Linked DNA regions of Cricetulus griseus. The protein of the gene in region 3 purifies or fractionates together with the protein of the main gene of each other region. This does not show direct contact. Links are inferred from orthologs where the notes say so. Each region holds a gene or a part of one and is shown on either strand. Other genes may lie near its edges.

The links. The genes of interacting proteins can lie anywhere in the genome.
Region 1: the proteins of Nxf1 (region 3) and Srsf7 purify together in Homo sapiens (affinity purification with western blotting; 3 studies listed by BioGRID and IntAct, with this or other methods). This does not show direct contact. The link is inferred for Cricetulus griseus from reciprocal best matches to the Homo sapiens genes NXF1 and SRSF7.
Region 2: the proteins of Nxf1 (region 3) and NTF2-related export protein 2 purify together in Homo sapiens (co-immunoprecipitation; 5 studies listed by BioGRID and IntAct, counting the BioPlex papers as one, with this or other methods). This does not show direct contact. The link is inferred for Cricetulus griseus from reciprocal best matches to the Homo sapiens genes NXF1 and NXT2.

The regions. Positions count from the first base shown.
Region 1 is NC_048600.1:3,871,729-3,878,941, reverse strand, and holds the start of Srsf7 (serine/arginine-rich splicing factor 7), read right to left. Parts: upstream 3,832-7,213; 5' UTR 3,701-3,831; coding exon 3,673-3,700; intron 2,529-3,672; coding exon 2,348-2,528; intron 2,061-2,347; coding exon 1,884-2,060; intron 1,007-1,883; coding exon 932-1,006; intron 551-931; coding exon 440-550; intron 1-439.
Region 2 is NC_048604.1:38,304,627-38,311,850, reverse strand, and holds the start of NTF2-related export protein 2, read left to right. Parts: upstream 1-3,393; coding exon 3,394-3,482; intron 3,483-4,435; coding exon 4,436-4,520; intron 4,521-5,373; coding exon 5,374-5,460; intron 5,461-7,224. UniProt on the Homo sapiens protein: Regulator of protein export for NES-containing proteins. Also plays a role in mRNA nuclear export.
Region 3 is NC_048596.1:51,335,230-51,342,712, forward strand, and holds the start of Nxf1 (nuclear RNA export factor 1), read right to left. Parts: upstream 3,855-7,483; 5' UTR 3,700-3,854; coding exon 3,672-3,699; intron 1-3,671. Other genes in the region: Stx5 (syntaxin-5), read right to left, coding at 6,119-6,278.

The DNA of each region.
Region 1 (7,213 bases), on a different chromosome or scaffold from region 3:
AAAAAATCTTACATTTTCTTTACTGAAAGTATGTTTGAGTAGGTGAATGCCATAACCTTCCAGAACTCAAGAGAGCAACTTGTGGGAATTGATTCTCTTCCCTCCACATGGGTTCCAGGCTTGATGGCAAGCTTTGTAGCCAAACATTTCTTCAGCCAGCTAGCATCATGCCTACCCAGGTTATTCACTGGAATAATTTAGTTTTTTAACTCTGTTCTGAGGTGGGGTGTGAACCTCATATGCTTCCCATCTGTCCTCAAATACTGGCCCAAGTAACAGTAGTGTCTCAGTCTAAATGCTAGGACTACAGGAATATCTCACCACACTTAATCTTCACATCTCAAATATTCTGAAGTATCTCATTCAATTAAAGTACTTCACTGTGTCATTAAGACGTGACAATTCATTTACAAGTAAGCAGGAAAAATGTGTTACATACTGGAAATACCTCGATCCTTTTATAGAACCAGACCTAGATCTTCTTAGTGAAGCTGATCTTGATCTACGAAGAGACACAGACCTTGATCTTCGAGGGGATGCTGATCTTGACCTAAAAATTAAGACATTCTAAGTCCATCTTCTTTTCCCAGTTGTTAAAACTTGAATTTTAGCTAGGTGGTGGTGACATATGTTATACGTTATTTTTTCCCCCACAGCACTCAGGAGGCAGAGGCAGGAGGATCTCATAAGGCCAGCCCCATCTCAAAAAATCTACAAACAAGCCAGGCGTTACTGACACACGCCTTTAATCACAGCACTGGGGAGGCAGAGAGGCAGGCAGATCTCTGTGAGTTCGAGGCCAGCCTAGTCTCCAGACTGAGTGCCAGGATAGGCTCCAAAGCTACACAGAGAAACCCTGTCTTGACAAACCAAAAGAAAAAAAAAAAAATCTACAAACAAAAAAACCCTCGAATTTTAAAGTATTTCTCACCTTCTTCCCCGGCTCCTGCTTCGTGAGCGAGAGTATCGCCTTCCCCTGGATCGGGAATGTGATCTAGATCGTGACCTATTTTTCAAGTTAGAAAAATACAAAATATTAGACGATAACTCAGTTTTAGTGTTTGTGTACCTCTGCTGAAATCAAATCTCAAAAACTATTTAAAATTTAGTATCTCATTTGGAAAAACTCTGGGCCTATAAGCTTTTTTTTTTTTTTACTACCTAAAAAAAGATTTGTTAAAAGCTGAATTACAACTTAGAATTACAAAATATAAAACACCATAATGTGTATTTAAAATAAACCTTGCAAGTTTGCAGGTCGACCCTCTTTGGCCCATGGTCTAGTAGTAGGTCTAGTAGATCTAGACGATCTAGAAGTATCTATAGCCGATCGCTGCATCTAGATGTTTTCTTCAATCTAACGACGATCAAACTGACAGCCAAAAGAGCCAGGTGAGGCTTGATTGACGCAAGAAGATTTTTCTAGGTGGGAATGTGGTCAATCTGGTGTTCCTCTTTCTAAAGCGGAGGGGGCCCCAATTGTAAGCCAAATTTACTGTTACGGCGATCACCGACTCAAATTTTCTGCCCTTTAAAGAATAAGGTGAAGCTAGGTGTAGATGACTCGAGGGGATCTGGCCTCTTATGCTGATCACCTCAAGGTCTAGGAGGATCTTAATTGTCGGATTTGCAAGGCGCCTCAGCATGATATCATAAGGCTCGTGACATTCTGAATCAAGGCGACTGACTCAAACGAAGAAACCTGAAAGGTTTTGACCAGGTTGATTATTAATATATTAACATTTTTAATTAAACAAAAATTGTAAAATACACCTGTACAATTAACATTCAAGTTTATAGAAAAACACTAGTTTTCTGCCTTGCTAATAAAAGAATTACTTTGATTAACTAGAATACCAACCATTCCTTTTTTAACTAAATACCTGCTTCTTCTTCGACGGCTATAGCGATGACAGTCATAAGCATAATGTCCCTTTTCACCACACTCATAGCATCTATCATTAGGATCAAAGGGACGTCGGGCAGGTGGCCTATCAAAACGAGATCTCCGAGGCATGCCCGTCGATAATTCAACTCTCACTCGAGAACCACAAATCACCCTGCAACAAGAAAACACTAAAATTAAAATATCCACACGATTTCTAAAAGAAATCTACCAACAAACTACTCATTCCCCCTACAAGGTCTGTTTACAAAGCTATCTTAAAATTATCAGGTGCCTGTAACACCAGCACCAGAGAGGCTGATTCAGGATCGCTCCATACACTAACTGAGCTTTATGGTGAGCTCAGGGTCAGCACCCCCCCCACCCCCGCAACCCGATCAGAGCAATCTATGATTAACAAGACTTCGATCTAGTCCACAGGAATATTTTAAACGCACTCACTTCCCATCCAATCCACGAACTGCATCTTCTGCATCTCTAGGATCTTCAAATTCCACAAAGGCAAACCCTGGAGGGTTTCTGGCGATCCATACAGTCCTTAAGGGCCCATAGTAACTGAATGCCCTTTCTAATTCTCCTTTACCAGCACCGGTGCCCAGGTTACCGACATACACCTTGGTTTCTGTTTCAAAATGCAAACAGAAGAAATGTTATTCCCAAGTGTATCTTAAGTTTGGATTCATTTACAACAGACCACCCTTAAAGCTGCACAAAGTGCATGTTTTTGTTTTGGGGTACTCAAGGAGACTGAGCCAGTAAGTGATCTAGTACGGAGCCACACTCCAAATATTTTATCTACACAACGCTCAGGTGAGTCTCCTGCCTTCGAGCCTCCCTGAGGCAGATGGGACTAAAAGGCGTGCGCCACCATGCCTGGCTCCTTTTATTTGGCGGTCTCCACCAGTGATTAAATGGTAGCCTTAACCCCGTGAAAATAATGAAAGCCCGACTCGTGACCAAGTTCTGGCGTTCTGATAGGATGGAAACCTTGGAAAAACTCTGCAAAGGAGCGTGATAGATTAAAAAGGCGTGGGGTGGGCGAGCCCGGTCCGGTCCCGCCCCGCCCCCACCCGGTCCCGAGCTAGAGCGCGCGGGCTCCCGTGGCCCGGCCCGGCGAGAGTCCACGGGGAAGCAGAGGTGCACCGGTTCCTGCTCACCCAAATCCCTGACTCAGAGCCAGAGCAGCCACGCTAGAAACGGCTTAAAAAAATAAAGAAAAAGGAGAAAGGAGGCCGTCGCCGGTCGCAACGCTCCTTCCTCAATTCAACCCGTGGCCGGGGGCGAGGCGAGGCGAGGCGAGGCGAGGCGAGGCGAGGCGAGGCGCAGCTCGCAGCCGCCCGTTTCGTACGGTCTCCAATCCGACCCCGGACCTCAGCGCCCAGACTTGCCCGTTCCAGTGGCGGGAAAGCGCTGAGGAAAATGCGCCACCGCGGTCGTCAATGTGCTCAAAATGGCAGCCGCGGCCGCCGAGGGCGGGGTGGGGGAGGAGGCGGGCGGCAGTGCGGGTACCGGCGACGCCGCGGCGGACCCGGCCCCCGGCGCTCCAGCCAGGCCCGGGGACCGCAGCGCACACACGCCCTCCGGCCCCGCTCGCTCTCCCTCCCACACCCCGCCCCCGCGGCCTCCGGCTCCAGCTCCGGACGGCGTGCGCCGGGGCCGCCATTACGCACGCGGAATAACCGTCTCCAACCGCCGCGCCGACCCTACGGCCTCCCTCTGCTCGGGCCGCCACCAGCACCAGCCTCCCCCGGGCCCCGGCCGCTCACCTCCTCCATACCGCCCGTAACGTGACATGATGGCAGGCCCGCGTACTCGGCTATAGCTCGCAGTGCTCGCAGCTCGAGTAGCGCGGAAGCGGCTGCGCGTCCTCGCTCGTCGACACTCCCGGCGGCACTTGGAGGAAGAGGCCGGAGTCGCGCTTATATATGCGGCGGGCGGGGATTTTTTTTTTCCCCTTGCGCATGCGTCGTGTCAACGTTCTGCGCGGCACAAAGGAGCTGGGCGGAAACAGCCTAGAGGCGGGGCGGAGGGACCTAAGAGGCTGATCGAATCGCGGGCGGAGGGATACGTTGCCATGGGAACGCGGAGACCTTGCCCATAAACCTGTGGCCTCCCGGGCGGCCTCCTGCTCCCTCCCCTCCCCTTCCCCTTTCCTGAACCCTACCGATCCTCCTTTACCTTCTCCCAACCCTTCCACCTCTTCATCTTAACCTAGGAACTGACAGTCTAGTAACCGTAACTGTAGTGCAGGAGCGTTAGACCGTTCTGTGAAAGCCTGTAAAATCTAACCGCTGATGTCGCTGTCGCCACCTTTCGCTTTGGGGTACCTGGCCTAGTCTTCCACCCGGGGATCTTTGAGGCTCATCAGAGGTAATTAGAGTGACCAGTGTGAAAACGCCCCGCCATTCTGCTCCTGATCACCGCATCCCAGGCACTCAGAAGTGCCTCAGCGGGGCACTTCTCCCAGGGACTCACCGAGTCTGCTCTGAGTCCTTGGGAGTCTGCTGAACAAAGGGATACAGATGGGGGTTCTGGCAATGTTGAAATTTCGGCAAAACTAAAAGTTTGCAAGCATACTGAGCCGCGACAATTCTTAGATTCCTTGCACCTGAAGCACAAAGTTTGTTTTTGTTTTTGTTTTTGTTTTTTTCCTTCTAGTGCTTTGGAGCTTTTAAGGTTGTCTAGTTTTCACTTAAAGCGTTACAGCTCAGCCACTCGATATATGTCAAATAAGTGAAACTCTCATCTCCAGATTGCTTAAATCTGCCTTCGATTTTACATAATGTGTTGGCCAGAAAATAGAGCCGGCTCTGAAACTAGAGTTCAGTTCTTTGTATCAACCACCAAAAAAATACAGACATTACATCATAAATACTTGGAACACTCAAGAGTTGGAAATTTTACACATAAAATTATTTTTATCTTTTTGGTCTCCATTTGGTGTGTATAGATGCAGGTGTAGAGTACAGAGAAATGAGACCTACCTGGTCAAAAAGCATGAGACTCTCTTAAGTGCTACCAATGTATAGATATGTTGGTTTTCAAATATTCCAAATCAAGGTGTCTCAACAAAATGGTGAGAAAATAGAACCTGTATACAGTATATGATATATGTGTTCTGTCTCAGTCTTACTGGTGTGCTCACTTGCTTGCCTGCCATAGGGTCTCCTGAGCATCCCCAGCCCCTGGCTTTTGTTTCATCCGCTTCTCCTGAAAAGCCTTAAACAATTATAAAGACTTTTATACTTTCCAAAGGAACAGTGATTCTATAAACCTTATAAATTTCACTTTTTTGGTTTGTTTGTTTTTCGAGTGGGGTATTGGGATGGGAGGGTAGGTGGGGGGTGGGGGTCTCTGAGTAGCCCTGTCTGTCCTGGAACTCAGAGATCCACCTGCCTTTGACTTCTGAGTGCTGGGATTAAAGGTGTGTGGCCAACACCCTGGCCTCCAGCTTCAATTTAAATAAATCTACTTAAGTCAACAAATATTATAACATTTGCTAATATACGCTATGGAGTAATTCTTATATATCGTGGTTGTTAAATCTTGACAATGTTACTTTTTTTTTTTTTTTTTTTTGGTTTTGAAACAGGGTTTCTCTGTGGCTTTGGAGCCTAGCCTGGAACTAGCTCTTGTAGACCAGGCTGGTCTCGAACTCACATCCGCCTGCCTCTGCCTCCCTAGTGCTGGGATTAAAGGTGTGAGCCACCACCGCCCTGTTTGACAGTGTTACTTTAAAGTTGAATATTGTGATACATATCTTTGATCTCAGCATTAAGGAGGCCAAGACAGGAAAATCAGAAGCCAACCTGGGTTCCATAGTAAAGTATAGGCCGGTCTGATCTGCATAGAAAGACCCTGTCTTTGAATTGAAAGGAGGGTTGGAATATTCAAAAAAAATTTGCATCAATTTTCAAAATTATCTTCATATACTAAATTTAACATTTCCAGAAAAGAATTAAACAGTCAGTTTTGGTGATGGTGTTTATTTATTCCAACTTCCAGTATGCTGAGAAAAAAGTTCTTTTTATCCCCCTTACAGTAGTGGAGATTGCACCTAGTGCCTAAGGCATAAACAGGAGGCAAGGGGAAGTTCCTTTTGAAATCTTACTTCCTTCACTGTTTTAGTTTCATTTTTAAAATCATTGCCACCATTAGGGCAGAAGAACATCCTAAAATAAGAAAAGACAAGCAATTTAAATCTTTTGTACAGCTATCTTTCTTTTTTTAAAAAAACATAAATAATCTAGCTGGGAGGTGGTTTACACCTTTAATCCCAGCACTCAGGAGGCAGAGACAGTCGAATCTCTGAGGTCAGGCTGGTCTACATAGTTCCTGGGCAGTCAAGGCTACACAGAGAAACCCTGTCTCAAAAAACAAATAAACCAGGCATTGGTGGTGCACGCCTTTAATCCCAGCACTCAGGAGGCAGAGGCAAGTGGACCTCTGTGAGTTCGAGACCATCCTGGTCTACAAGAGCTAGTTCCAGGACAGCCTCCAAAGCCACAGAGAAACCCTGTCTTGAAAAACCAAAAAAAAAAAAAAAAAAAAAAAAAAAAAACCAAAACCAAACCAAACCAAAACAAAACAAAACAAAAAGGCTGGAAAGATAGCGTAGAAGTTAAGAGCCCGGGCTACTCCTACTCCTCCTGAGATCCCGAGTTCAATTCCCAGCAACCAGGTGGTGGCTCACAGCCATCTATAATGAGATCTGGTGCCCTCTCCTGGCCTACAGGTATACATAATAAAATAAATAAATATTAAAAACCAAACAAGCAAACAAAAACAATCTATAAGAATGCATTTACGTATTATCTACATACACATGTACATATGAACTGCAGGTTATTCCAAATATCCATGCTCAGCTACATCCTTTTATTCTTTTTCTATATATCACCATCATCTGATCCTCTAGAATGCTTTTGGAAATTCTTGGAAGGAAAAGTTTGTAGAACGTATAATTCTTTCAAATTTTAAAAAATGAACTCCTCCTTCGCGGCATACAGCATACATTTCAAACGGTATGAAGATGCAGAGAGCAGTAATGAGCTCAGAGTGACTTGGCCAAGACACAGGGCGTGGTAGCTCATGCCTGTATTCCCAGCACTGAGCCAGCTGAGTTAGAAGAGTCCTGGGTTTGAGGACAGCCCCAGCTAACAAAGACTGGGGGTGGGGAGGGTGAGTATCAGTGTGATAGTAAAACTAAGAAGAAGAAAATTAATGCAGAAGATGGTTAGGAGTTTAAAACAGTTCAGAGAATTGTCAGGCTTTTTGAGGAACATCTTGTTACATTAAAAAAAATGG
Region 2 (7,224 bases), on a different chromosome or scaffold from region 3:
TCTTCCACTCGTGAATACCTATGATTCCATATCATGGCTACTGTGAATGCTGTTACATAGCAACAGGAAATAAAAGCACTACTTTCTAAAGTTACTTACACTCTCATAATTAGTTCATATTCACTAGGATAGCTGCACTCCAAAAGACAATTAAAAGTATTGAGGAATACATAGAAAAATTGAAACTGTCATGTATGCTTGGATGAAATGTAAAATGTAGGCAAATGTAAAATATAGGCACTATGGAAATTAAGCTAGTAGTTTATTAACGTATTAAGTATGTTACCATATAATTCAGCAGTTCCACGACTTGGTATCTGAAATGTGCCGATATAAAAATTTACACAAATATTTATAGAAGTATAGTTTAAAACGGCCAACATGAGAAAGCTACCCAAATAACAATCAATGAATGAATACGTAGAAAAATGTATTGTGTATGTATAGTGCAATTGAAAGGAATGATGTCTTGACATGAGCTATAAAATGGTTGAGCCTCAGAAATATTCTAAGTGAAAAATACCAGACACAAATGATAACATTTGTACAACTCCACTTCCATGAAAAGTCCAGAATGGGCATATGCCTAGAGAGACACAGAATATTAGTGTTTGCCAGGAACAGGATTGAAAGGGTGGACAATAACCAGCTGATAAAGGGAAACGTGTTTGTAATAATTCTTGAATAAATCTATGACTATACAAAAACTCTCAGAATTGTGTGCTCGAAATGAATAGCTCACATTGTATATAAAGTATATCTAAATTGAAGTATTTAAGAACATTGTTCAGTATGAACAGGATGCTTTCCGATTTGAGACCCAAGAGGAAGTGACTACTCAGACCCCTCCCCCATTTTCTAGACTATTCCTGCTCAAATCTGAAGTAAGAGAAAGATTTAAGTAAGGGTTGTGCTAACTACCAAGAACTTTAATTTTCCAAAGTCCACACTTTAGATGAGCTGGTTTTCCAAAACAACTGCAAGGAATCCTAACCAACCCCATCTATTGTTCAAAGAGTCTGTTTTACCACAGTTCCCAACTCTCTGCTGAACTGTACTGATGCTGCTCCCTACCTCTCAAATTATCTAATCTCCTCCAACTTCATCTTATCACAGTCTGGGTTGTCTAATCTCTGACATGTATTTTTCAGACAGAGAACAGTAGAGCATCTGAGTGACTCATTTAGTTCTCATAATAATGGGCTTTTCAAAATACACTCATGTATTTATAATTATCCATATGGCAGTGGAGGTAGATGCACGCCATGATGCAAATGTGGAGGTCAGATGATAATTTGTAGGAGTTCATTCTCTCTTTCCACCATGTGCATACTGGGGACTGAACTGAGGTTCATCAGTTTTAATGCCAGGCTCCTTTTCCAATAAGCCATTTTGTCTAACCCAGCAATGTTTTGAAATATATGCTAATATTATTTCCATTTTACAGGTTGAAAGACAAAAGTTTTATAATGCCTAGGTAATTTCTTCAAAGTCAGAGACCTAGTCAGCAGCATGGTTAGAATCTGAATTCAGACTGATGGCAAAAATAGTGTGCTTAATCACAAAGTTATTTTGATACATAAAAAGCAGTTCCTAGTCACTCACTGTATTTTAAACAATTGCAGTTACCTAGTAAAGATGATGAACCTTATTTCCCACCTGTTCTTTTTCCCCCACAGGTTGTTTTATTGTCCTCCTCGCCCCAACACACATCCAATTTGTTTTTCAAATGTTTTCAGTTCAAAGGTCTAACAATCAGAGCCCAATATTTATTTCTATGTTATCATTTTACCCAGCCTTACACTTTTGTGGCACCTCAGCGTAGTCATTCTCCCATCATAGCACAAAATTATGTACAATAAAAATCAGTGTAAAACTCTGAGTTTCCATTCCTCCTCTAACTCAAATATCCTTTCCCAAGTGTCAGCACTTCTCTACTCCTTTAGCACTATTGTCCATCCCAATAGCGACTTCTATAATCCCAAGAGTGGCATCCTATATGTTTCTAGAAAAATGAAATGAGGGAAACTTCACAAAAATGATAAAACTTGCCCTGATACCTGAAGGACAGATAGAAATGGAGTAAACAAATCAAAAAGAAAAAGAAGTAAACAAATCAAAAAGAAAGAAGACATAGTAATATACAAGTAAATGAATAAATAGCACAACGTGTTGATTAGACAATTTGGGACTGAAATTCTGGGTTCAATAGCTGTGTCATCTCGTCTTAAAATTTCTGTGCATGTGAGTGTGCCTGAATGTATGAAGACGTACCACACACAGGTGCCAAAAAAGTCAGAAGAAGATGTCTGATCTCCTGGAACTAGAATTACAGACAGTTGCAAGCTGACTAACATGGGTGCTAGGAACTGAACCCAGTATTCTGAACAAGTATTCTTAATCACTGAGCTACTTCTCCAGTCCAGAGCTGCATCATATTAGCAAAGGTTATTTTTTTGTTTGTTTTGCTCTTTGAGTTTCATCTCAAATTCTTAAAAATATGGGTCATATTAATATCTATGTCTGATTTGTAAGGATTGAATGAAATCATATAAAAATACCTTTCCTCATTCAAGAAAAGCCAATAGCGATATAACAATGAACAGGAGTCATTTTGTGGAAAAATGTGGCTTACTAGTCTTTTTTAAATTTGAGAGAATACTCTAGGAAAAATAAAATCACATCAAAGTAGGCTTTAAATATTAGGGTAATTGTGGGGGTGAGGATACACTGACTAACCTTAGAAGAGGTAAAAGTGAGGGGAAGAGAAAGGAGGAGAGAAGGAAAAAGGCAGAGGGGTTAGAAAGGCAGAGACACAGAAAGATAAGGTAGAAAATGTTTTAGAGATTGGCCGAAACTAGCTACTCAGAATTCATTACTTGGAATTCCTTTAAAATGTATCAGTAGTTACTTGTTTGCCGCTCTTGACACTGCTTGGTAGCAAGAGCTTTGCACAATGCCTGGAGCACAGTAAATGATGATAAATATTTGTTGAAGGAATGAACAATAAGAAGAGAACCAAAACTCAATCAATAAATAATGCAGATTCATGCATCACTAAGAAAATATAGATTAGAAATAAACTGAAAAAAAAATCAGTTTAAATTTTGGACTTGAGAGTCTGAGAAACATGGCAGAACATTCCCATTTTCACTATTAGAAAGATTCCACATGTACAATTTGAGCTCCATAGAGGTAGAACCAAAGTTACAAAACTGTAGTTCATTACCATATAAAGAGCCATAGAGAGTCACGTGGTAGTAGCTGCCCCGGAAGTAATGAGTCAAGGCAGTCAGCATCATAGTGGGCAAACCGGAAGGAACTGAAGCTGAGTGGCGCGCAGTTGGAGAAGAAAGCGGTTCCTGTGGGTACCTTTGTGAACGCTCGCTGAGAATGAAAAAATATAGTGACTGGTCCCGTGGGGACAAACACTATGGAAGGTCTGGCTATTCCTCTCGCGAGCCACACACAAGCTACAGATAGTAAGTTCAAAGAAATATTTGATTCAAATTTTAGATGTCTGACGTGGCCACTTTGGGATTAACTGTTTTAAGAAAGGGCGCCGGGCTACTGAAACCAGTTTGCCATGGCATTTATCATTACTTGAGCTTAAATCTTATCTAGACACGGTTTAATCACTGATTGTTTTAATAATGTGATGATAAAATAGTATTTAACTCATAGTTGCCATAAATAATTGAAAATGGATAAAATTACTTAGAAAAGTGCTTATGGTCACTACTAACGGTCCCTGGTCAGGTTGTTCTGAATAAGCTGTAGAAACCATACACCACAGAATATTGGGTTTTGGTTTGGGTGGGGTTTGTTTTTTGGGGGGCGGGGTGGTGCTTGACATTTAATCCCTTCGGTGTGAAGGGAATTAGTAAAATGATTGTTAAGCACAGGAAAATTTTTAGTTATCCAAACAAGGCGTTAGTAGCAGAGGGTCAAAATGGAGAATATTCCCGAACTTTACATTTTAAATTCTTTTAAACCCCTCGTGCAGCAAGCGGTTTTTCTGAGCGGGTTCTCAAGTCCTGCCCCCTTTTCCTATTGGCTACTGACCTAGGTTTTTCCGTTTCTCATTGGCCCTCAAGCTTTGGGCCCGCCTCATGGGATAAAGCTGTCCTGTAATTGCAACTTTTGATTTTAACTTGTACCAGGGCGGGGAGCTGGGCTGGGGTTGTTTTATTTGTGTTGTGCTGTTTTGTTAGTTTATTTTTGGTTGGTTTTTTGTTTGTTTCTCTCTTTTATGCAAAGTAAACAGTTTGGAAGTAATTTAAACAGATGGATGGAACCAGTTGCAACTGAAAGGATTGGCCACTTAAAATTGGAACTTTGAGGGGGTTTTAACACTAGGATATAATGGGCGGGTTTAAAAATCTGTGTCTTTGGCGGGTCTCGTTTTCTTTGTAAACATTTCCTCCTTCTGCAGCCAAAAGAGCCAGACACGTGAGGAGGTACTGACACCTGCCCTGAAGGAGCATGCCATTTCAAGTTCTCCAATGGCCATGGCTGTGGTGAGTGTGTGACACCATTGAGTGTTGAGGAACTAGGACATGTGCAGCAAAAGGGATGGGAGGCAGGAGCTTGGACATGTGAGCAACTGGCGAATCAGCATCTGGCCCGCCAGCCCCTGGGGCGGGACTTGCTCCCCTCCTCTTCCTAGAAAAGATGCAGGAAGGAGGATGGAGGCTAAGTCATCTTTGGCTTACAGTATCAACCTTTCTGTTGGCGCTTTAAAAATCAGAATCTCCTGATCACTCACAAATGGCAATTATTTTTAATTCAAGGAATAGGACTTTCTCAGTAAAAGTGAAGGGCAAACAAAGTTATTTAATTGGGGATCTTGTGAGAACTCTGAGGCCTTTCATTTCTTGGTTTTTGCAATTCATTTACAAATGCCCATGAATGTTTATATAATGTAAGAAAAATTTCTAAGTGGGACTGCTTAGACTTTCAAGTCATACTTAAAAAAAAGAAAATAACTTCCAAGCTTGGTCATAAGTTGAAACTTAGCACTTACTCAGTGACTGTCCACCAACACCTTGTCTCCACCCACACCCATCACCCACTCTCGAGTTACTATTCCTGTGGTAGGTGAATGTTTTGTAAAATACTGAATTTTTTTTTACTTAATTGCCAAGCAAAGATTCCAGAGTTATATGTGAAGAGTGAAAAAAGGGGAGATAAATATGTTCTAAAGACGTGGATCTAAAAACTAGCTACAGTTTGCTTTTAAAGCTGAAAACATTTATGCCTTGATCTTTAAAATACTCAAATTTATATGATAGCTGATTTTGCATATAGCTTTATAGTGCCTATTTTGAGCTTGCAGGATTATGATTTACCATTGTGAAAATTTGCTCATAGGATTTTAAAACTCATGTGGATCAGGCATGTAGAGCTGCTGAGGAATTTGTCAATATTTACTATGAGACAATGGACAAAAGAAGACATGTAAGTTTTATAGTCTCCCTTGTTCTTTGTTTAATACCATTCATTTGTTTAAATACCATTTATCTGACCTACATAAGTAATTGCTGTATACACATTCTTTAAGACCTGTTTATACTGGTTTACAGTTTGTTTATACTTGTTTATAGTTTGGTATTTTGTTTTCATTTTTCTTTTGGGGTATTTTGGTTTTTTGGTATTGGGGTTTTTTGTTGTATTATTTTTTTTGCTTGGTTGATTTTTTTTGAGAAAACTGCTACTTGAGAAGCTAGGGAAAGAATCTGGGAGAAAGGAAGAATATGATCAAAAATATATTTAAATTTAAAAATTATTTTAAATAATAAAAATATAACATAGGATATCTGATCACATTGTGAACCCCAAGATTGCATTATTTATTGGAAAAACCTGTTTCTAGCTGTGGTGTGGCTCAGGCTTAGCATATACCTTTAACCCAATTGTTTTCTGCTTGCATATTGTAAACAGGATTAAATAAGGTCAACCATAGGTCAAGAGGCAGAGCAACCAACCAGTTGACAGGAAGTAAACATAGGATTATCAAGAAAAAAACATGTAGAGTAAGAGGGAGTCAGGAAGATGGATAGAGAGACACACAGGAAATAGAAGGGAGGGACATTCCTTTTGAGGCATGTTGTTTGAGAAGGCATAGGAGTTAGGGGAGGCTTCTGGGGTATTGGCTGAGGAGGAAGGTCAGCTGGGTGTATTCTCTGCCTCTCTGAGCTATCAGGCTTTCACCCCAGAATCTGGCTCCTGAGTATTAATAAAAATCAAATGATTAAGATTTTGTTAACATTTGGCACCCAATTTGGGGCACAGCCTCATGGACAGAGTAATCATGCCAGCTGAGGACAAACTGAGAAGCCATCGGATTTGGTAATATACCTGGAAAGTCCTCAAGGAGAGAATTTACATAATATTAAAATTGGGAAACATTATAGTACAGAGCTTTAGGACCATGTATATTGCTTCTTTAGATACTTTGAAAATAGAAGCAGAAAATGAAAAGATAAATGATTTAACTGAGATTGGCATAGTGCCGATTATAATTACTATCAGTCTGGAACTTTGCATTTTATCCTCAATAGCCATAGTATTTTTTGTGCCAACTATGAAAAATGGATTCATACGATACAAGCCTTAGAAAGATGTAAATAAAAATAAAAAAATATGCAGACACAGAGAAATTTAGACAAGAACCTACCACACCATTCCATGTTGAAACTGAAGAGGTGTGGATAAGGTTGTTAGAAAACTAACCTTAGCCTACCCAGTTACTATAACAAGAATTAACCAGCAGACAATAGGCTTTCCCAAGTTTTTGAAGAATTTAAATGGAATCTGATAGAAATACTGGATTTGAGGAGATTTAAGGAAGTAGTCATTTCAGATGGCATACATATGTATATTTTAAAGATATGTTGATCTTAGAAAGGAAACCTAGTGTCACACTAGGGAAGAGGTTTTATCTCTGTTTCCTTGGGAGGAGAAAAGCTGTGAATACCATGAATATTGATAAAGATTAGATTCAAACGGGAGAGCCTTCCTGAATAAGGAGAGGTGATAGTTCATCACACAGCTTGGTCATTCAGCCCAAACTAACAAATGCCTTTCATTTGATTAGGCATGAAAAACTAAAAATATGAATAATATTTTCAAAATGGTAATTTACCAAAGGCACGTTTGCCTTACTGGCATGAAATGAAAAATGGGTTTTTTTGAAACATGTGTCTTTATTCCATGTTAGAT
Region 3 (7,483 bases):
GGTTTGATGCCCAGCATAGACTCAAAGCAGACAATAATAGCAAAAAGAGCATTTTTCATTTGGGTATGGTAGCCCATGCGTATTATACTAATAACTGGGAGGTAGAGGCAGGAGAATCTGGAGTTCAAGATCATTTGCCACTACATACTAATTTAACATCAACCTGAGCTACATGAGATCCTGTCTTAAAACAAAATAAAGTTTAAAGGGTGTGGGGGATGGGAGTCTCTCTCCACAAGTTCATATAAATCTTAGAAATCTGTGGGTTAGAGGCTGGAGAGATGGCTCAATGATTAGGTCCCAGAATTGGTTCCTAGCACCCACATGGCAGCTCCCAACTGTGCTCTGCAATGTGAATGCTGGGAAATCAAAGCTGGTCCTCTGGAAGAGTAGTCAGTGCTCTTAACTCATCTCTTCAGCCCCCTACAGCTTTCTAATAACTTGTTTTTTGATGTTTATGACCTATAAAAAGTTCTTTCCCCTGGCCAGGGCACAGGTGTCTATGTGGAGGTAGCCTTTGTAGTTCTAGGGGACCCAATACCTTCTTCTGGGCTCTGCAAGGACCAGACAGAAAACTAAATCTTTAAAAGAAAAAGTAATGAAAGGTGAAAATATCACAACACATTGTGTATATGTATAAAATTGTCAAAAATCATTAAAGTGAAGGGCTAGAGAGATGGCTCAGAGGTTAAGAGTACCGACTGTTCTTTCAGAGATACTGAATTCAATTCCCAGCAACCATATGGTGGCTTACAACCATCTATAAAGGGATTTGATTCCCTCTTCTAGAATGCAGACAGAACACTATATACATAATAATTTTCTTTTTTTCCAAGACAGGGTTTCTCTGTATTGCTTTGGAGGTTGTCCTGGAACTTGCTCTGTAGACCAGGCTGGCCTCTTAACTCACAAAGATCCACCTGCCTCTGCTTCCCAAAGTGCTGGGACTAAAGGCATGTGCCAGCACTGCTGGGCCTAAATAAATGTTTAAGAAAAAAATTTTGAAAGAAAACAAGTGAACCAGAAACTAGTTCCTACATAAAAAGTAAAACATGGCACCCCTGAAAACCACTTGAAATTTTTGATCTTTTGCCTATACATACAAATGAGGGCCACAGAGCCAGATGTGGGAAACAACTGTAATCTCAGCAAATGGGAAGTGGAGGCCTCAATTACACAAGTTCAAAGCCATCCTGGACTACATGATCCTGTCTCAAAAAATGAAAAAAAAAACTTACAAATATGACCTATTTTAAAACCACATAATAGCCAGATGGTAGTGGCTCACACCTTTAATCCCATCACTCGGGAGGCAGAGGTAAGTGGATTTTCTGTGAGTTAGAAACCAGCCTGGTCTACATAAGCTAGTAACAACCACCACCTCCTTGCTCTCAAACTGTCCTTCTGAATTTGGGCAATGCTCATTTCTGTGAGCAGAAGTGACTGCACCTCAAGGGACTTCTAGATGCAGGATCAGCTGGCAGTTCCACATTAGGGTCCTGGAGTGTTTTCTAATACACATGTGTCCGAAGCAGATCTCTGAGAGTTCAAGGCCAGCCTGGTGTACAAAGTGAGTTCCAGACAGCCAGGGCTATTACACAGAGAAACCCTGTCTCAGGGGAAAGAAAAAAAAACAAAAAACAAACAAACAAAAAAAACAAAAAAAAGGAAAATGAGCTGGACATAGGCAGGCAGATCTCTGTGAGTTTTCAAGGCCAGCCTCATCTTGGTCTATACAGTGAGTTCCAGTCAGAGCTACATATTGAAAAAAAAAAAAGAAAGAAAAAGAAAAAAAAGTAAATAAATGAAACCAAGTGCAGTAAAATACTGTGTTTATGTTTTTTAAAATTTTTTCTTTTTTGGTTTTTCAAGACAGGGCTTCTCTGTGGCTTTGGAGGCTGTCCTGAAACTAGTTCTTGTAGACCAGGCAAGTCTCGAACTCACAGAGATCCCGAGTGCTGGGATTAAAGGCGTGAACCACCAACGCCTGGCCACAGTATACTGTTTTTAAGGCAAGAGGATCAGAGGGGCTCAAGGTCACCCTCCTCTTTGTAGAGTTCAAAGCCAGACGTTGTGTATAGGTTTATATGTATATACATGTAGGCACTAACACAAAAGGAGACTGAGGATCAGCTCAGCTGGTAAAGTGCTTACCTTTATCCTTCACACACACACACACAGACTGAGGTTGAGGCAGGAGAATTTGAAACTTCAAGTCAGACTGGGCAACTTAGTGAGACCATCTCAAAACAACAACAAAAAGGATGAGAATTTAGCTCCATGGGAGGGGATTGCCTGGTGTATGCAAGGCCTAGTGTTCATCTAGCACAAAATAATAAGTCTCGTGGTACGTGCCTACAATACCAAACTTGGGAGACTTGCACTGAAAGACTGACTATGAGGCCAGCCTGGGGTACTAAGACTGGCCCTATAAGGGAGAATTAGTCTTCAACGGGGATGAACTCCCTAAATGGTTATCCAAGGCCAAATGGTTAGCCTTAAAAATAAGTACATGCTAGCTACACTAAATGGACTCAGGTTGTATGAATTTGGGGAGTGGGTAGACATGAAAGTAACTGGAGGGAGATCCTGTTAAAACACGTACATACATACATACATACATACATACACACATACATACATACATACATGTTGTTTGTTTGTTTTTTGTTTTGTTTTATTTTTCCAGGCAAGGTTTCTCTGTGGCTTTGGAGGCTGTCCTGGAACTAGCTCTTGTAGACCAGGCTGGTCTGGAACTCACAGATCCGCCTGCCTCTGCCTCCCGAGTGCTGGGATTAAAAGTGTGCACCACTGCCACCCACCATATAATTATATTTTAGTTAAAATAAAGGTTCACTGGGCTGAGGATTTTTCAGACCCTGGATAAATCAGCACCACACAAACACAAAAAGGTTCATGACTTCCAAAGAAATCTACCTCATATCTATCGTCCTGTAAACAATGACCCTCACCAAGTGACTCTAGTGAAAACACAGTGCAATTAAGGTTCACTGAAAAATCTTCACTTCCAGCCACTTGACAGAAATTATCTCATACACACACACACACACACACACACACACACACACACACACGCACGCACGCACGCACGCACGCAAACTTGGGAAGACAAGATACCCACATGAAAGAGGCGGAAAACAAGGCCTGAAAGTTTAACTCCGTCGGGGTTAGCAAAGCCAACTCCAGATTCAATCACCTGTCATGCCGTCCTAAACACCACTATGAATTAACCCATCAAGGTAATTGTTAGAACTAGGAAACTGGTAAACATTAAGGAGCAAGCTGAAAGACCAACTGATCGCGTTAAAAGAAAAAAAAAAATAGGGCACCAAAGCAGCCCACGAACAAGGTACTACTGACTCACATTTAAAGGACGAGTCGGGCCGCCAAACTCAATTGACAGGCATCAACCACCCTCAAAGTTCAAAGGAATCTTGTCACCCCACCCTGAGCCACAGGTCCTCCAACGCCAGAATCCGGGCGACTCTGGAGCCCCTGTGTCCCGCGGCGCCCCATCCTTGCCCGCGCGGCCACCGCTGCCCACGGACACAGAACTCCTCGCGGCCTCCCGCCCCCGGGCTTGCGGCCTAGGCCGGGGCCGCCCACTCCGGCCCACCGCGCCGCCTCCCGACCCGAGGCCCCGAACTAACCGTTGTATGACTTCCCTTCGTCCGCCATGGCACAGGCAGGTACAGGGGAGGGCTCAGGCGCAGAACCTGACGACACCAAACGCCCAGACGTCTTGGCGCTCAGGACTGAAGCGCTCCTACGACCGGCGCCACCGCATTTATCCGGCGAAGCACGTCGCGCGCCGCCGACGTCCCCAGGATGTGGGCGGTGCCGCGGGGCGAGAACGCGCTCTCTGCGCCTGCGCAGAAGCAGGGCTGCCTCCAGAGGGCGGGGCCAGGCCCTTCGAGGCCCGCCCACGGCCGTAGCTCGGGGCGCAATGGCTTGTTGGCCGTCTCTGCCTTCCTGCTTCTCCACTGTCCCAGTTGTGTCGGGGTTTGCTCTGGAGTTGAGCGGGCTGCTTTAGCCCTGAATTCTTGAGAATCGGGGACCAGAGCCACACAAAATGAAGACCTAGCCTCTGAGTGGGAGTAACGGCTCACAGTCTCCGTCGGTGAGATTCCCGGCAGCTTGTAAGTCGCAGCTCAGCTCCTTGACAGCCGCACGCCTATTCCCTCCCAGCTTTCCTCGCCTCTACGATGGATTGTGACGAAATAGAAAATTGGAATGTAAGCTCCACCGGAGCAGGAACCTTAACTAATGCACAGCTTCTCTTCCTCCAGCCCGCCTGGCTCAGTACCGAGCCAAGTGTGAAACCTGTGTGAATTAAATGAAATCCTGTCTCTTTTAGGCCCTCCACAAATTGTTAGGAAAACAAAAACAACCCCTCCCCACCCCCCAAAAAACCAGCATCAAGTCCCGCATGATGGCGCACACCTTTAATCCCAACATTTGAGTGGCAGAGACAGGTGGATCTCTGAGTTTGAGGCCAGCTTGGTCTACATAGAACTTTCCAGGACAGCCAGGGCTATGTAGAGAGATCTCGCTTCAAAAAATCAAACTGGGCATGGTGGTTTAATTCTTTAGTCCCAGTACTTGGAAGTTCAAGGCCACAATTGTCCATACAGGGAACACCCTGACAGCCAAAGCTACATAGACAGACACTGTCTCAAAACAAAAATAAAATGCACCTGTCAGGGACATAGTGAGCACTGGTCTTTACACTCGAGGTCCTAAACACCATCATCCCTATTAGGTAGACCCAGATCAGCTAGGTGGACAGGGAGTCAATAGTAGTGATTGGATTTTATTTTTGGGAGTGTTTCTCTGTGTAGCCCTGGCTGTCCTGGAACTTGCTCTGCAGACCACATTGGCCTCAAGCTCAGGAGATCCACCTGCTTTTTCCTGCAGAGTGCTGGAATTAAAGGCGTGTGCCAAGAGCTCTTATAGATGACCTTCAGTGTGACTAGGGCTGACCCTATTATGGCCTGAGATTCCTGAACCTGCTGGGGGCGGGGGAGTAAGCAGATGGGACATCCATAGGCATGGAGCAATGACGTCAATACTAATCAGGGCAAAATAGCTTATTAACCTTCCTCCAGAGTCTGTGTTAGGTGGGTTGCCTCCATTTTTTCAGTGGCAGGTTTGGATTTGCTGAGGGTCTTAGAAGGTGCCAAAAGCTGGGTCCAAATTCTCTTCTGCTCCCAGCAACAGAGGTCTTGCTTCACTGAATTCAAGAATCAAAGCCACGTGATTTGCGAATACAGATGGAAAACAGGCCCCAACATAGCTTGAGATGTCCTAGAAGCTGCCACCCAGTTAAGAATCCATTAGGCTCCAGTTCAAAGGAAAACTCTGCTAATGAAGTGCTGTTATACTTGCTCCCTTTCTCGGAGGGAGTTGTAGGTACACAGCTCCAAAGCTACCCTGCTTATCAGTGAGGCCCTTCAGAGCCACCAACTCAACCCTTTTGGTTCTGGTATTGGGCACGATCCCACCCAGAAATGACAACATCACTACTGAGGCTGACAGTCTTGCTGTAATTGGGAGGAAACAGGTTTGCAGCACATTTGGCAGATTGAGTCACCAGTAGCCAAAGTCAGGTTTGTGCAGGCAACTGAAGGGCTCAGAGCCTCCTCACCTCACATGGTGAAGAGAGGAAGGCAGTCAAGTTCTAACCCGATGGTAAAGTTGGTCCCTGGGATAGTTTTGTTTCCTTGCCTCACTCTCAAGGAGGCAAAGAGGGGCATTATCTCCCCTTGCTGCCAAAGTTACCTTTGGGGGAGGCTGGTAAGGTTTTATAAAAATCTCCTACTGGAGACAACCTCCTCCACTGGCCCCTAAGCAGGCTTCTGCTCCCAGCTACTTTCACAGCAGAGTCCAAATCCAGAACCAGTGTTTCAAGGGCCTGAGGGTAGGACAGAGTGGCCAGAGACAAGGGTGGGGAATCGGGACACTGGCCATTCTTAGCAGTTCCAAGGAAATGGCCTTTCTCCCAACCACCCTATACAGGCTCAATGGCAGCCATGGCCACTTGCCCTCCCAGAAGGGTCCCAAACCCTCTGTGGAGTGCCTCAGATTGAAGGAGGGTTCAGGCAAGGAAGACCACAAAGATGATGAAGAAGACAATGAGGATGAGGAAGATTTTGACCATGAGCCACCGATTGGAGGTGACTGACTGGAAGTACTTGAGGATCTCTGAATGGGCGGCCTCAACATCCAGCTGGGCTCCAAGCACATTCTCATCAATCCTAGAAATAACAGTCAGGAGAGAAAACAGGACATTGCATTAAAAGAAACACCTCTGACATCCATTTATGGATATGGAAAGGTGATCACAATGTATAGAAGTAAAAACTTTCATATTATGTGGTCTCTTTCATATACATGTATCAGTGTATACAAGTTTACAAGGTTTTTTGGGGAGGGGGTAGTAGACCGTGTTTGGCTAGTTTGAAAACTTTTGAGCCCCCCACCCCCCAAGTCCATATGAGCATTGAAAATGCTGTATTTTTTTTTTTTTTTTTAAAGACAGGGTTTTTCTGTGGCTTTGGAGGCTGTCCTGGAACTAGCTCTTGTAGACCAGGCTGGTAGTGAATTCACAGAGATCCACCTGCCTGTGCCTCCCAAGTGCTGGGATTAAATTCGTGAGCCACCATGTATTACAGTTTTGTTTTGGGTTTTTTTGGTCATTTTGGGGGGTTTTCCAGACACGGTTTCTCTGTGTAGTCCTGGCTGTCCTGGAACTCACCCTGTAGACCAGGCCTGCCTCTGTGTCCCAAATGCTGGGATAAAATATATGTGCTATTACCACCATCAAACATTGTTATAATGGAGGTAAAGTTCAGACCACTACAGTAAGAAAATTCTGGTTGGGGGATGGGACAACTTTGACAGGAACTCAAAGAATACTACAAGCCTTATATCCAAAGAACATTTATCTCTGGGGAACAAGTCCTCAGAAGAAGGACGGTTTGAAGACTTATTGAGGCAAACAAAACTTTCCCCAGGCAATCTGTGTACAATCCTGAAACCCAAATATTGTGGCTGGGCACACAGCTCAGTAGGAAAAGTGATTGCTTAGCAACCAAAGTGCTTGCTTGGCAAACACAGTACAGTGGGTAGCCAGAGAAAATAGGAAAAAGCTAGGTTTTGTGGCTACCTGAAAAAACCCAAGTTTCAGCTAAGGGAGAGAGACCCTACCTCAAAAGAATAAAGAGTAATAGAGGACATCTGATGCTTTCCTTTGGCCTATGTCATACAAAACACACACAAACACACACACACACACACACACACACACACACACACACACCCTAAAAAGAATTTAAACCCAAATACTGCCCTATGTCACAAGATGTTTCAGATGTCATGCCTACCTATAAAGCATGGCAACCACTAGGAATATACTGCCTACTGACAGTAATTTTACATTTTGTGATGTGTAAAAGCACCT